2 linked regions of the Mus musculus genome follow. The protein of the gene in region 2 interacts with the protein of the main gene of each other region in a biochemical or structural test. Links are inferred from orthologs where the notes say so. Each region holds a gene or a part of one and is shown on either strand. Other genes may lie near its edges.

Region 1 (5,872 bases), on a different chromosome or scaffold from region 2:
CAGAAGAGGTTGATGCTCCTCTGTACACAGGAAGAGAATTGCCCAAGATTCTTACCCTGTGAGTCCCAGGACAGTGTGGACATACTGTAAGACCCTGTTCAAAACAGACAGACTGGGCAGGCATGGTGGTACATGCCTTTAATCTCAGCACTCAGAAGGAAGCAGCAGGTAGATTTCTGTGAGTTCCAGACCAGCCTAGCCTACAGAGTGAGTTTCAGGGCAGCCAGGGCTATACTGAAAATCCCTGTCTGAAAACAAGACAAAAAACAGACAGATCCACCAAAAACAACTAAAGGACCAGAAAGATGGGTCAGGGCTTAAGTGCTTGCTATTCTTTGCAGAGGACCCAAATTTAGTCCCCAGATTGCTCCATGTGGAGCTTCACAAACATCTTAACTCCAGTTCTACAAGATCAGATGCCATCTTCCGACCTCCTTGTACACCATACAGACATGATATATAATATACACACAGAGGAGAGGGGGAGAGGGAGAGAGAGAGAGAGAGAAAACACTCACATAAAGATTAAAAGAAGGGGGCTGGAGAGATGGCTCAGCGGTTAAGAACACTCACTGCTCTTCCAGAGGGCCTGAGTTCAATTCCCAGCAACCACATGGTGGCTCACAACCATCTGTAATGGGATCTGATGCCCTCTTCTGGTGTGTCTGAAGACAGCTACTGTGTACTCATGTACAGAAAATAAATAAAAAAATTTAAAAAAAAAAAAAAAAAAAAAAAAAAAAAGATTAAAAGAAAATCTTGGTTTTTGTCTTTTTTTTTTTTTTTTTTGCCTGTGAGGTGTGAGATAGCAGCCACTGTTCTGGCGGGGGGTGGGGGGGGTGTTGGTTTTTTGTTTTTGTTTTGTTTTTTCGAGACTGGGTTTTTCTGTATAGCCCTGGCTGTCCTGGAACTCACTTTGTAGATCAGGCTGGCCTCGAACTCAGAAATCCACCTGCCTCTGCCTCCTGAGTGCTGGGATCAAAGGCGTGCGCCACGCCTGGCTGTCACTGTTCTCTGAGCCATCTCACCAGCCTTTAATCCGGGAATCAGGAGGCCGAGGCAATCGGATCTCAGTGAGCTCTAGGCTAGCCTAGTCTACAAAGTTGTGTTCCAGGACAACCAGAAACTAGTCTTGGAAAAACAAACAAAGGCTGGAGAGATGGCTCAGTGGTTAAGAACACTGGCTGCTCTTCCAGAGGTCCTGTGTTCAATTCTCAGTAACCACAAGGTGGCTCACAACCATCTGTAATGGGATCTTATGACCTGTTCTAGCACGTAGGTAAACAAGCAGACAGACCACTCCTACATTTAAAAAAAATACATAAATAAAATTTAAAAACATTGGGTGTTTTGTCTTCTAATAAAAATCCATTGCTAACAGGGGAGTGGTGGCTGGGACCTTTAATCCCAACATTTAGAAGGTAGAGGCTGGTGGATCATTGAGTTTGAAGCCAGCCTGATCTACCAGCCTGATCAGCCACGGATACTCAGAAAAATCCTGTTTCGAACCCCCCCCACTCTCCAAAAAAAAAAAAAAAAAAAAAAAAAAGTCACTCTTGCTTGGAGAAAAAAGGTCGGAAGTCTTGGTGTACGCCCTTAATCCTAGCACTCTGGAGACAGTAGCAGGAGGATTACAGAGATGGAAACCAGTCCCAGCCTCTCAAATAAAGAAAATAAAAGGAAAGGGAAATGGCACGGTACGTGACTGCCAGATAAGGTTCGCGTACTTGCTCGGAAATTACGTGAGATCGACGGCTCTCTCGATTGAGCCTAGGGCACGCCTGAGAAGCTGCGGTGACCTCACAGAGCGCGGAGTCTCCGCGAGAAGTTCAGTGTTGTTTTCCTCTTTCCACCTTTCCCAGGGACTTCCGAGACCCCGCCTCTCCGGTGACGTCAGCACAGCGCCGCGTCAGGGTATAAAAGCCGCGTGGACGATGTTGGCGCAGATTGAGTCAGCTCTGAGTTTGTGGAAGATTACATGCGATATCCCGCGCGACCCCGCATCCCTTTGCCGGCCGGGACAGCCTTTGCTACAGCCTGTGAAACATTGCGTCCCCGAGCCCCACGCCTGAGGGCGACATGAACCCGCTGGCTTCGCGAGCAGTCCGGACCCACGATCGCTTTTGGCAACCAGAACCGGCGCTTCAGCCCCCGGGGTGACGTGCAGCCCGCCGGTGAGTGGGGGATGGGGCGGCCTTTGAGGGAGGACTCTCTGGCGAGGAGACTGGAGAGAGTTGTGGAATCTGAGGGGGCAAGCTGGAGGGCGATTCCAGGTTTGGGGAAAAGGCACAGAAGCCCAGATGGCTTATTTGGTCTGAGAGAGGAGAGCCCACGTCTACACTCTTCGTTTAAAGGGAAAGGGGCCGGGAGGCTCGACCGGCAATATCTGTATAGCGCCAAATAAAGGGAAGGACCCCAGGAGGAATAACCAGGGTCCGAGGGGTAGGCAGAGGGAGGTTTTAGGGGCATGAACACAAGCTTGAGGAACGAAAGGTCACTAAAAAGCCAGACTCTTACAGGTCTGAGAAGGGCTGGCCAGGAACTGTGACTGGGGCTAAGGGAAGGGTTTAAGAGTGTGGGCTCTTGGTTCTAAGGATGTAGAGCTTGGGTGTTGAGAGAGATTAACCAAGTGGCAGAGTTGGGTGTGAGCAATGTTATTTGGAATTCGAGGCAGGCATTCACGTGTTGCTGCTGTGACTATTTGTTACCATGACTCAGTGCTGTGACCCGAGACTGTTTCCCAGAGCGACTTCTAAACAAATTTCCCCCCTTTCTAGCCCAGACACATGGCCCCGAGCCCAAGACCCCAGCATGTCCTGCACTGGAGGGACGCCCACAACTTCTATCTCCTGTCCCCACTGATGGGCTTGCTCAGTCGGGCCTGGAGCCGCCTGAGGGGCCCAGAAGTCCCAGAGGCATGGCTGGCAAAAACAGTAACAGGAGCAGATCAGATAGAAGCTGCGGCTCTGCTGACACCTACCCCTGTCTCTGGTAACCTCCTCCCTCATGGGGAGACTGAAGAAAGTGGATCTCCTGAACAGAGTCAAGCAGCCCAGAGGCTCTGCCTTGTGGAAGCTGAAAGTTCCCCTCCTGAAACTTGGGGACTTTCAAATGTTGATGAGTACAATGCAAAGCCAGGACAAGATGACCTTAGAGAGAAGGAAATGGAACGCACAGCTGGCAAGGCCACACTACAGCCCGCTGGCCTGCAAGGGGCTGATAAGAGGCTTGGGGAGGTGGTGGCTAGAGAAGAGGGAGTGGCTGAGCCCGCTTATCCCACATCACAGCTGGAGGGTGGTCCAGCTGAGAATGAAGAGGATGGAGAAACAGTGAAGACTTACCAAGCTTCTGCTGCTTCCATAGCTCCGGGATACAAACCCAGCACCCCTGTGCCTTTCTTGGGGGAGGCAGAACATCAAGCCACGGAAGAAAAAGGAACAGAAAACAAGGCTGACCCCTCCAACTCTCCTTCTTCAGGCTCCCACTCCAGAGCCTGGGAGTACTACTCTAGAGAGAAGCCTAAGCAGGAGGGAGAAGCCAAGGTAGAGGCACACAGGGCAGGGCAGGGTCACCCTTGTCGGAATGCTGAGGCTGAGGAAGGAGGACCTGAGACAACTTTTGTCTGTACTGGAAATGCCTTCCTGAAGGCCTGGGTGTATCGCCCAGGAGAGGACACAGAGGAAGAAGACAACAGCGATTCGGATTCAGCTGAGGAAGACACAGCTCAGACCGGTGCCACCCCCCATACAAGTGCCTTCCTGAAGGCCTGGGTGTATCGCCCAGGAGAGGACACAGAGGAAGAAGACAGCGATTCGGATTCAGCTGAGGAAGACACAGCTCAGACCGGTGCCACCCCCCATACAAGTGCCTTCCTGAAGGCCTGGGTGTATCGCCCAGGAGAGGACACAGAGGAAGAAAACAGCGATTTGGATTCAGCTGAGGAAGACACAGCTCAGACCGGTGCCACCCCCCATACAAGTGCCTTCCTGAAGGCCTGGGTGTATCGCCCAGGAGAGGACACAGAGGAAGAAAACAGCGATTTGGATTCAGCTGAGGAAGACACAGCTCAGACCGGTGCCACCCCACATACAAGTCCCTTCCTGAAGGCCTGGGTGTATCGCCCAGGAGAGGACACAGAAGATGACACAGAAGAGGAAGAGGACAGTGAGAATGTGGCCCCAGGTGACTCAGAAACAGCTGACTCAAGCCAGAGTCCCTGCCTTCAGCCCCAGCGTTGTCTACCAGGAGAGAAGACCAAGGGACGTGGGGAAGAGCCCCCTCTCTTCCAGGTGGCCTTCTATTTACCCGGAGAGAAGCCAGAATCACCTTGGGCTGCACCTAAGCTGCCCCTTCGACTGCAGAGGCGGCTCAGATTGTTCAAAGCCCCCACCCGGGATCAGGACCCCGAGATTCCTCTAAAAGCTCGGAAGGTGAGTGTTAGACTAGATTCTAAAGCCGCTTACTTTGTGGCTCAGGAATTTATAGTCCTAGGGCTGGGATTACAATAGAATTCCACACTGCCTTTTTTTTTTCTTTAATATATAATTTATTCAAAGGGCCTAGATTCTGAGTCGGGAGGAGGAAGAGTCTGGGACCTGAAAATCCCTAAGGAAGTGTGTTGGAGGCGGAGACTCCAGGGAAGCCATGGGTTGCGACTTCTTGCATATGAACTCTGCTGGGAAGGCTGTGTTCACTCTCTTGCAATCTCCTGTAAGAGGCAGGGAGAGTGGTAGTTGTGGCCTGGACATCTGTGTCTTAGAGTGAATCAGAGGGGCAGGCAGGTGACTATTCAAATACCAAACATTTTTGCGTGACAGACTTTTTTATTTATTGTCCCCGTCCCCAGGTACACTTCGCTGAGAAAGTCACAGTCCATTTCCTTGCTGTCTGGGCAGGACCAGCCCAAGCTGCCCGTCGAGGTCCCTGGGAGCAGTTTGCACGAGATCGAAGCCGCTTTGCTCGACGCATTGCCCAGGCAGAGGAGAAGCTGGGTCCCTACCTTACCCCTGATTCCAGGGCCAGAGCATGGGCACGCCTTAGAAACCCATCTCTTCCACAGTCCGAGCCTCGCTCTTCCTCTGAGGCCACTCCCTTGACCCAAGATGTGACCACACCCTCTCCCCTTCCCAGTGAAACCCCTTCGCCCAGCCTGTACTTGGGAGGGAGGCGGGGCTAAGCCTGAGTAGTTTCCTATTATTTATTTATTTATTTATTTGAATAAGAAATAAAGCCTTTTAATTTGTAGTGATAAACTCTTACGTGTGTTCTTTATTGGTAGCTTCCGGGGAGGCTAAAAATGGTGTCCAAACTTTAGTTTAAGACCAACTTGATCTAGTGAGACCCTCTTAAAACACAGTCCTGTGTAAGGGACTTCCTTATGTAAGGTGCCACAAGTAATCTCCGCACTGGGAAGCTGAGGCAGGAGACTGGCTTGGGTTCCAAGACAAGCATAACATAGTGTGGCTGTCTCAAAAAAATTGAAGGGACAAGGAAGGGTGGCATATATACACAAGGTGCAACGACGACATCTATGTTATAACGAAGCCCATTATTTTGTACACTAACTAAAAAAAGAATAGTCAAAAGATTTATTGTTAAAAGACAAGGCCAGGCACAAAGGTGCGCGTGCTTTGTCATCCCAGTACTTCAGGGGTGGAAGCAGGAGGAGCGGATGTTCAAGGCAAGCCTCAGCTACATAGTTGTTGGAGACCAGACTGAGTATCAAAAAACTAAAAAAGAAAGGAGGAGGCATGCCGTGAAGCTTTCTCCAAACGCACAGAACAGAGTTGGTGAGGGATGGTATTTTATTCAGTTACTCACACGCCAGTTTCCCATCGAAACTGGATAAGCAGATGGCGAAGGCTTGGAGCGG
Region 2 (5,980 bases):
GAAAACACTCATCAGGGTCCTGGGGTTGAGCCAGGCGTCTATTGGGCAGCCTCTTCCCCACACCCACCTGGAAGGAACACATGAGGGTCTCATCCACACTCATCATGGCACCAGCATTGTCAAACTCTCCACAGTAGTTGGGAGCTGAGAAGAGTGTCACCAACTGTCTCTTGGCAAAGAACTCATAGCCATCTTCTACAACCTGGGCCAGGGCAGGAACGGTTTAGTCTGTAAGTTAGGCACCCCACCCCCACCCCCAGCCCGCCCCAGGCCACCAGCCCACCTGATGTGCTCTGCAGATGAGGTCCAAATCATGCTTGTGCAGGAACTTGGCTACCACCTCAGCCCCAAAGGTAAAGGAGACACCACGGTCATTCTCGCCCCAGCCTTGAACATCCTTGTCAGGGTCAGACCACAGGAGATCACACAGTAGGCCCTGGTCAGGCACGTCTGTGGGCCGCATAATACGCCTAATCTGCTCCATGGATTGCAAGTCTGGAGACAGGCCTGGGGGTGGTGGAGTGGGAATAGTGTTCCTTAAACCAAGTGCTGTCCTGTGCCCAGCTCTGGGGTGGGACAGCTCCACTGTTCCCACCGCTAATCTGGGCTCCTTAAGTTCAGGGAGACAGAATCCATTACTTCCCCACTGGCCCCATTTCTCTGTGGCCTTGGCTGTCCTGGAACTCACTTTATATGACACCACCACTTAGAAGTACAGATAGCAGACCTCGGGGGTGGGGGGGCAGAAGGAGATTAATGAGTTGACTACAGGATGCCTCATGCCACAACAGGAAAGAGTGCAACCAAACTGGTGGGTGGAGCATGCCTTTAATCCCATCACTTGGGAGTCAGAGATAGGCAGGAGCTCTAGTGAGTTCAAGGCCAACCAGGTCTACAAAGTGAGTTCCAGGACTGTCAGGGTTTTACCCAGAAAGCCAGTCTCAAAAACAAACGGGGGTGTGGTAATCTCCCCTAATAAGCGATATCCAAGATGAGATTCAAGGAGCGCTATTCCAGGGAACTGAGAAGAGTTCTGTTAACTTTACAAGGCCCCTAAGGATGTGGCCCAAGAACCCAAGCACAGACCCACAACCACTCTCACCCCCGTGGCAGCAGAAGATCTTCTCATCCACAATGGCTGCAATGGGCAGGCAGTTGAAGCAGTCAGTGAACGTCTTCCACAGTTTGATGTTGTATCTTCTCTTGCCTGCGCAAAAGGAAGCGGCTCATAGGGAAGACTACACCCCCAACCCCCAACCCCAGTCTAGGTTTCTGTGCACCCATCCAGGGACAAAGCTGAGAAAAAAAGACCGAAAAGCAAAGAAAGCTTACATTCTTCTCTTTGCTCTACCCTCATCTACCTTCCAGAATTCCAACACCTGAACTCGTCTGGCCCAACCATGATGGTGGTACCCACTCTGGTCCCATGGATGAGGCCAAACCAGGAGTGGGTCTGTTTTATTCATACAGGCATCCTAAATGTTTACTAAGGAATGTACTAGAAGGGGGTGTCATCAGGCAGGGCTGTGGCTTTAGCAAATGGGCAGCCCTGCATGTACATCCATTCACCAGGCCCCTCCTGAGCGCCAAGGACGACAGACGTGTTGCTGGGGCCCTACAGGGCTCATCATTGGGGGTCTTTTGGCACTAGACCAATGTAGGGGGCCCATGAAGAGCAGGGAATGTAGTTCTGGGCAGACAGCAACATTCAAAGCACTTACATTCATCATAGAAGCCATAAATGCGGTTGATGCTGGCACACTCATGGTTCCCACGAAGTAGAAAGAAATTCTCCGGGTATCTGATCTTATAGGCCAGCAACAGGCAGATGGTCTCCAAAGACTGCTTGCCCCGATCTACATAATCCCCCAAGAAGAGGTAGTTGCTCTCTGGAGGGAAGCCACCATACTCAAACAGCCGTAGAAGGTCATAGTACTGGCCATGGATGTCACCTGGGAACCAGAGAAAACTAGGTAGGTGCAAGATGTAAACTTGACCCCAGGGCCAGCAATAGGTTAAAGGGTGGAGGAACACGGTTAATGGGGCACGAGTAGGGGCTATTTTCAGGAAGCAAAAGGGTTCTGTGCAAGGATTTACCACAGATCTTGAGGGGCGCCTCAAGCTCCAGAAGAATGGGCTGGCTCAGGAAAATCTCCCGGGATTTGAGGCACAGACCACGGATCTCGTTCTCTGTCAGCTGCACGTTCTTCCCAGGCCGTGAGCCCTGCACTGAGTACGGAATAGGGTCTTGGGACCCTGACCTCGCAGACCGGACGAGGGTAGGTGTCGCGCCCCCCTAACAGGGGCAACTGTTGCAAGTGAGCCCCCACCCCCTCACCCCGAAACCTTTGCGTCAGGCCTTCAAAGGCAAGATCCGACCCCTTAGCCACCCGGAGGGCCTCCAGAGAAACGCCTGTGCTCAGCAGCCTGTCAGCCGAAGCTTCCTCGCTTCGGGATCCCTTCCCAGCTAGCTTCGCAGGAGCCTCACCCTGAGTCCCGGGCACTCGTGCACCCCCGGCCTCTGAGCGCGCTCCAAAGCCCAGGCGCCCGCGGGGGGGGGGGGTGCCGTGGCCATGGATCCTCACGGCCTGTCCCCGCCCAAGCGACGCTAGCCCCCGGGAGCGGCGGGCCGCCCGCGCGCCACTTCCAGACGGCGAGGGGCCCGGGCTCGGCGCGAGCGCACCTTCCCTACCCCTGCCCACCTTCCAGCAGGCGCCCGATGATGGAGTCCAGGTTGAGCTTCTCGCTGTCGGACATGGCGGCGCCGCCGCTCCGGCCCACCAGCTCCGGGCCCTCTCCTGCCTCCCGCCCTCTTACAGCCTCCTTCCGGCCTGGCTCTCCTTCCGCCCTCCCCAGCCCGCCCCCGGCCCGCCGCCCCTCCTCTTCGGTCGACCGCCCCGCCCCGCCCTGCCGCGTCCGTAGTTCCCCGCTCTCTAGCGCCTCCCCTGGACGGGAAGCTCCGCAGCCCGAGAGGGCCTCGGGCGAGCGGGCGGGGCTGGCAGGGGTGGTGAGCCGGGGTTCGGTAGGGCGGGGTTAGGTCGGCTCCACCCTGGAGGAATCGCCCTGCCGCGTTCAGATGAGTTAGGGCCGGAAGTACTGTAGGAATTGTTTTTCTCTTTCCAAGTCTCTCCCACCCCAGCCCTGCGTGGGACTGTGGTATGAGCATGTTAATCGCTGACTTCTCAAACACTAAATAAATTCCTCGAAGTGCAGAAAAAGAAACTAAGGCTTAATGATACTGAGAGTGGGCTCCAGACCTCCGGAGCCTCACATTCACCTCCATCTTTATGGCCAGACCCATGAACACCTGCTACTGAACTCTAAGCAGTGTTTTGGTCCAGGTTGCCTTGGTGCCTGCTACGTCCATTTTTTTTCCATAAGTGATGTAATACGTTGTATCTCGTTCATGTTGTAAGTCCTTTGTAGAGTACTTGGACTTGTCTAGCATGTGCAAGGCCTGAGGTTCCAGCTCCGGCTCTGGAAGGAACATTAAAGTAGGCTTGGTGTCGTAAACCTATAATTCCAGTGCCTGAAATTCCTGCACTCAGGAGTCTGGACACAGGAGGATCAGAAGTTCAGGGTCATCTCCTGTCTGGGCTACATAAGACCCTGTTCTCACACTACCCCTTCACTCTCAAAACAAAACAAAACAAAAAACCCGGGGCAGGGGGTTGGAGGGGTGGGATGACATTAAAGGATAATTATTATTGGAACCATAAATTGGTTTTACTTGGTAAAACTGAAGGTGGCCTGTCATCTTCAATTTGGGCCAGCCAGGGAATCAATACACCCAGCATCCTCTGGATGGGAGGAGGTCGTGGCTCTGGCACTAGGGCAAGCAGGAAGAACCTCACAGAGGAAGGGGGGAGTCCCCCCACCAGGGAGGGGCCCCCAGCAAGCTGCTGAGCTGAGACTGAGGAGGAAGTGAGAAGAAGAGGTGAGGTGCAGCAAGGAGGTGAGCCGGGCTGCTGGGGTAGGGGCCAGGCTTGGGGCTGGGGCTCTGCACAGAGACTTGGTCTCAGGGTCTACCCGACTCCCCAGCAAAAGAGGGGGCTTAGTCCCCTGTGACTGAGGACTGGTGGCTGGAATCCCCAGCCTGAGTCTGGCTGTTCACACTGGCTCTCTGTATGTCTTGCAGCCTGTGACACTGGGGTCCAGGGCAGAATGGCCCAGGCCCTGGGAGAGGACTTGTTATCAGAACTACAGGATGATTCTAGCTCCCTAGGGTCTGACTCAGAGCTGAGTGGGCCCAGTCCATATCGCCAGGCTGACCGTTATGGCTTCATTGGGGGCAACTCAGGTGAACTGAGGTGAGTGAGGCATGGGTAGGGGAGAGAGTAGGGTCCAGAGACTGAGGACACTAGCCCAAAACTCAGCTGCTGGTGTCACTGCTCGGTTCCGCGTGGTGGGGTGGGGGTGGGGGTGGGGTGTGCTTTATCTCTTTATCCTCTGACGATCTGTACCTTCCCCTAAAGCTGAACATCCTTTCCCTTTTAACCTCTGGTCCAAGAACCCCAGATGGAAATTTGGATGTCTTCTCTTCTCCAGGTTTCCCTTACACAGTTAATCACAGACAGAAACTTGACACATCGCACAGCAGATCAGAAAAAGAAGCAGATTCAGACTCAGGACTTCAGGCTTCCAGTCCAGGGCACTATCCACCCAGCTTCCCCTATGAGTTAGCTCTGTCTCTGTTTTAGGGGACAGCCAAATAGACCTACCCTAAATACCTCCTCATCCCATTAGTCTTTCCAGCTTCTATCCCTTTATTCCTGTTTGTTTGTTTGTTTGTTTGTTTGTTTGTTTCAAGACAGGGTTTCTCTGTATAGCCCTGGCTGTCCTGGAACTCACTCTGTAGACCAGGCTGGCCTCGAACTCAGAAATCTGCCTGCCTCTGCCTCCCGAGTGCTGGGATTAAAGTGCTCCACCACGCCTGGCCAGTTTCTATCCCTATTGAAACCCAAATCCCCTTCCTTTACCTTTGATACTGTGTCTGTTGTGTGCCTCCAGGCTTTGTCAACCCTCTGCAGACCTCATCCGCCAGCGAGAGATGAAATGGGTGGAAATGACCTTACACTGGGAGAAGACCATGTCCCGACGATACAAGAAGGTAAGGAAAAAGAGGTGTACATACACTGGTTCCCAAAGTTCTCAATCCCCCTGCTTCTGCTTCCCAAGTGGACTCTTGACCAAAGAAAAGCTGTGCTTAGAGCTGGGCAATGGTGGCGCACACCTTTAATCCTAACACTTGGGAGGCAGAGGCAGGCGGATTTCTGAGTTAAAGGCCAGCCTGGTCTACAGAGTGAGTTCCAGGACAGCCAGGGCTATAAAGAGAAACCCTGTATCCAAAAACCAAAAAAAGAAAGGAAGGAAGGAAAAGACCGAAAGAAAGAAGCAAGCAAGCTGTGCCTGAGAGCAAGAGAGCAGAAGAAACCCTAATGCATCTGACCTCACCCACAGGTAAAGATCCAGTGCCGCAAGGGCATCCCCTCAGCCCTGCGTGCCCGGTGTTGGCCCCTCCTGTGTGGGGCCCGGATGTGTCAGAAGAACAACCCTGGCACCTACCAGGTAAGAAAGTTGGCAGGATCTTTACTACCCCTTCTCAGAGCTCCCTGCCACCTGACCCTCCATATCTCCCTTCCTCCCACCAACAGGAGCTGGCAGCAGCCCCCGGGGACCCGCAGTGGATGGAGACCATTGGCAGAGACTTGCACCGTCAGTTTCCTCTGCATGAGATGTTTGTGTCACCCCAGGGACACGGGTACGAGGCCAGGGATACCCACGCTCCTCATGCTAGATTCTTTAGTTCTACTTTTACATCCTTGGACGAGGGAGACTCTGGCCTGGGCAGAGGCCACAGAGGGCAGGCAGGGGGATGCCTGGGAGGCTAGCCTTAATGAGCTCTTTTGGCACAGGCAGCAGGGGCTGCTGCAGGTTCTCAAGGCCTACACCCTGTACCGGCCAGAGCAGGGATACTGCC

Evidence for each region. The genes of interacting proteins can lie anywhere in the genome.
Region 1: the proteins of Ppp1ca (region 2) and Ppp1r15a are reported together in a solved structure, tested with the Homo sapiens proteins (2 studies listed by BioGRID and IntAct, with this or other methods). The link is inferred for Mus musculus from reciprocal best matches to the Homo sapiens genes PPP1CA and PPP1R15A.

What each region holds. Positions count from the first base shown.
Region 1 is NC_000073.6:45,522,297-45,528,168, reverse strand, and holds Ppp1r15a (protein phosphatase 1 regulatory subunit 15A), read left to right. Parts: upstream 1-1,900; 5' UTR 1,901-2,174; intron 2,175-2,777; 5' UTR 2,778-2,786; coding exon 2,787-4,430; intron 4,431-4,522; exon of another isoform or gene 4,523-4,706; coding exon of another isoform or gene 4,707-4,708; intron 4,709-4,846; coding exon 4,847-5,176; 3' UTR 5,177-5,252; downstream 5,253-5,872. Other genes in the region: Tulp2 (tubby-related protein 2), read right to left, coding at 5,722-5,729, 5,821-5,872. UniProt on the Homo sapiens protein: Recruits the serine/threonine-protein phosphatase PPP1CA to prevents excessive phosphorylation of the translation initiation factor eIF-2A/EIF2S1, thereby reversing the shut-off of protein synthesis initiated by stress-inducible kinases and facilitating recovery of cells from stress.
Region 2 is NC_000085.6:4,188,994-4,194,973, reverse strand, and holds the start of Ppp1ca (serine/threonine-protein phosphatase PP1-alpha catalytic subunit), read right to left. Parts: upstream 2,801-5,980; 5' UTR 2,758-2,800; coding exon 2,703-2,757; intron 2,230-2,702; coding exon 2,098-2,229; intron 1,953-2,097; coding exon 1,722-1,952; intron 1,208-1,721; coding exon 1,103-1,207; intron 508-1,102; coding exon 284-507; intron 203-283; coding exon 68-202; intron 1-67. Other genes in the region: Tbc1d10c (carabin), read left to right, coding at 4,165-4,310, 5,011-5,110, 5,461-5,568, 5,655-5,761, 5,916-5,980. UniProt on the Homo sapiens protein: Protein phosphatase that associates with over 200 regulatory proteins to form highly specific holoenzymes which dephosphorylate hundreds of biological targets.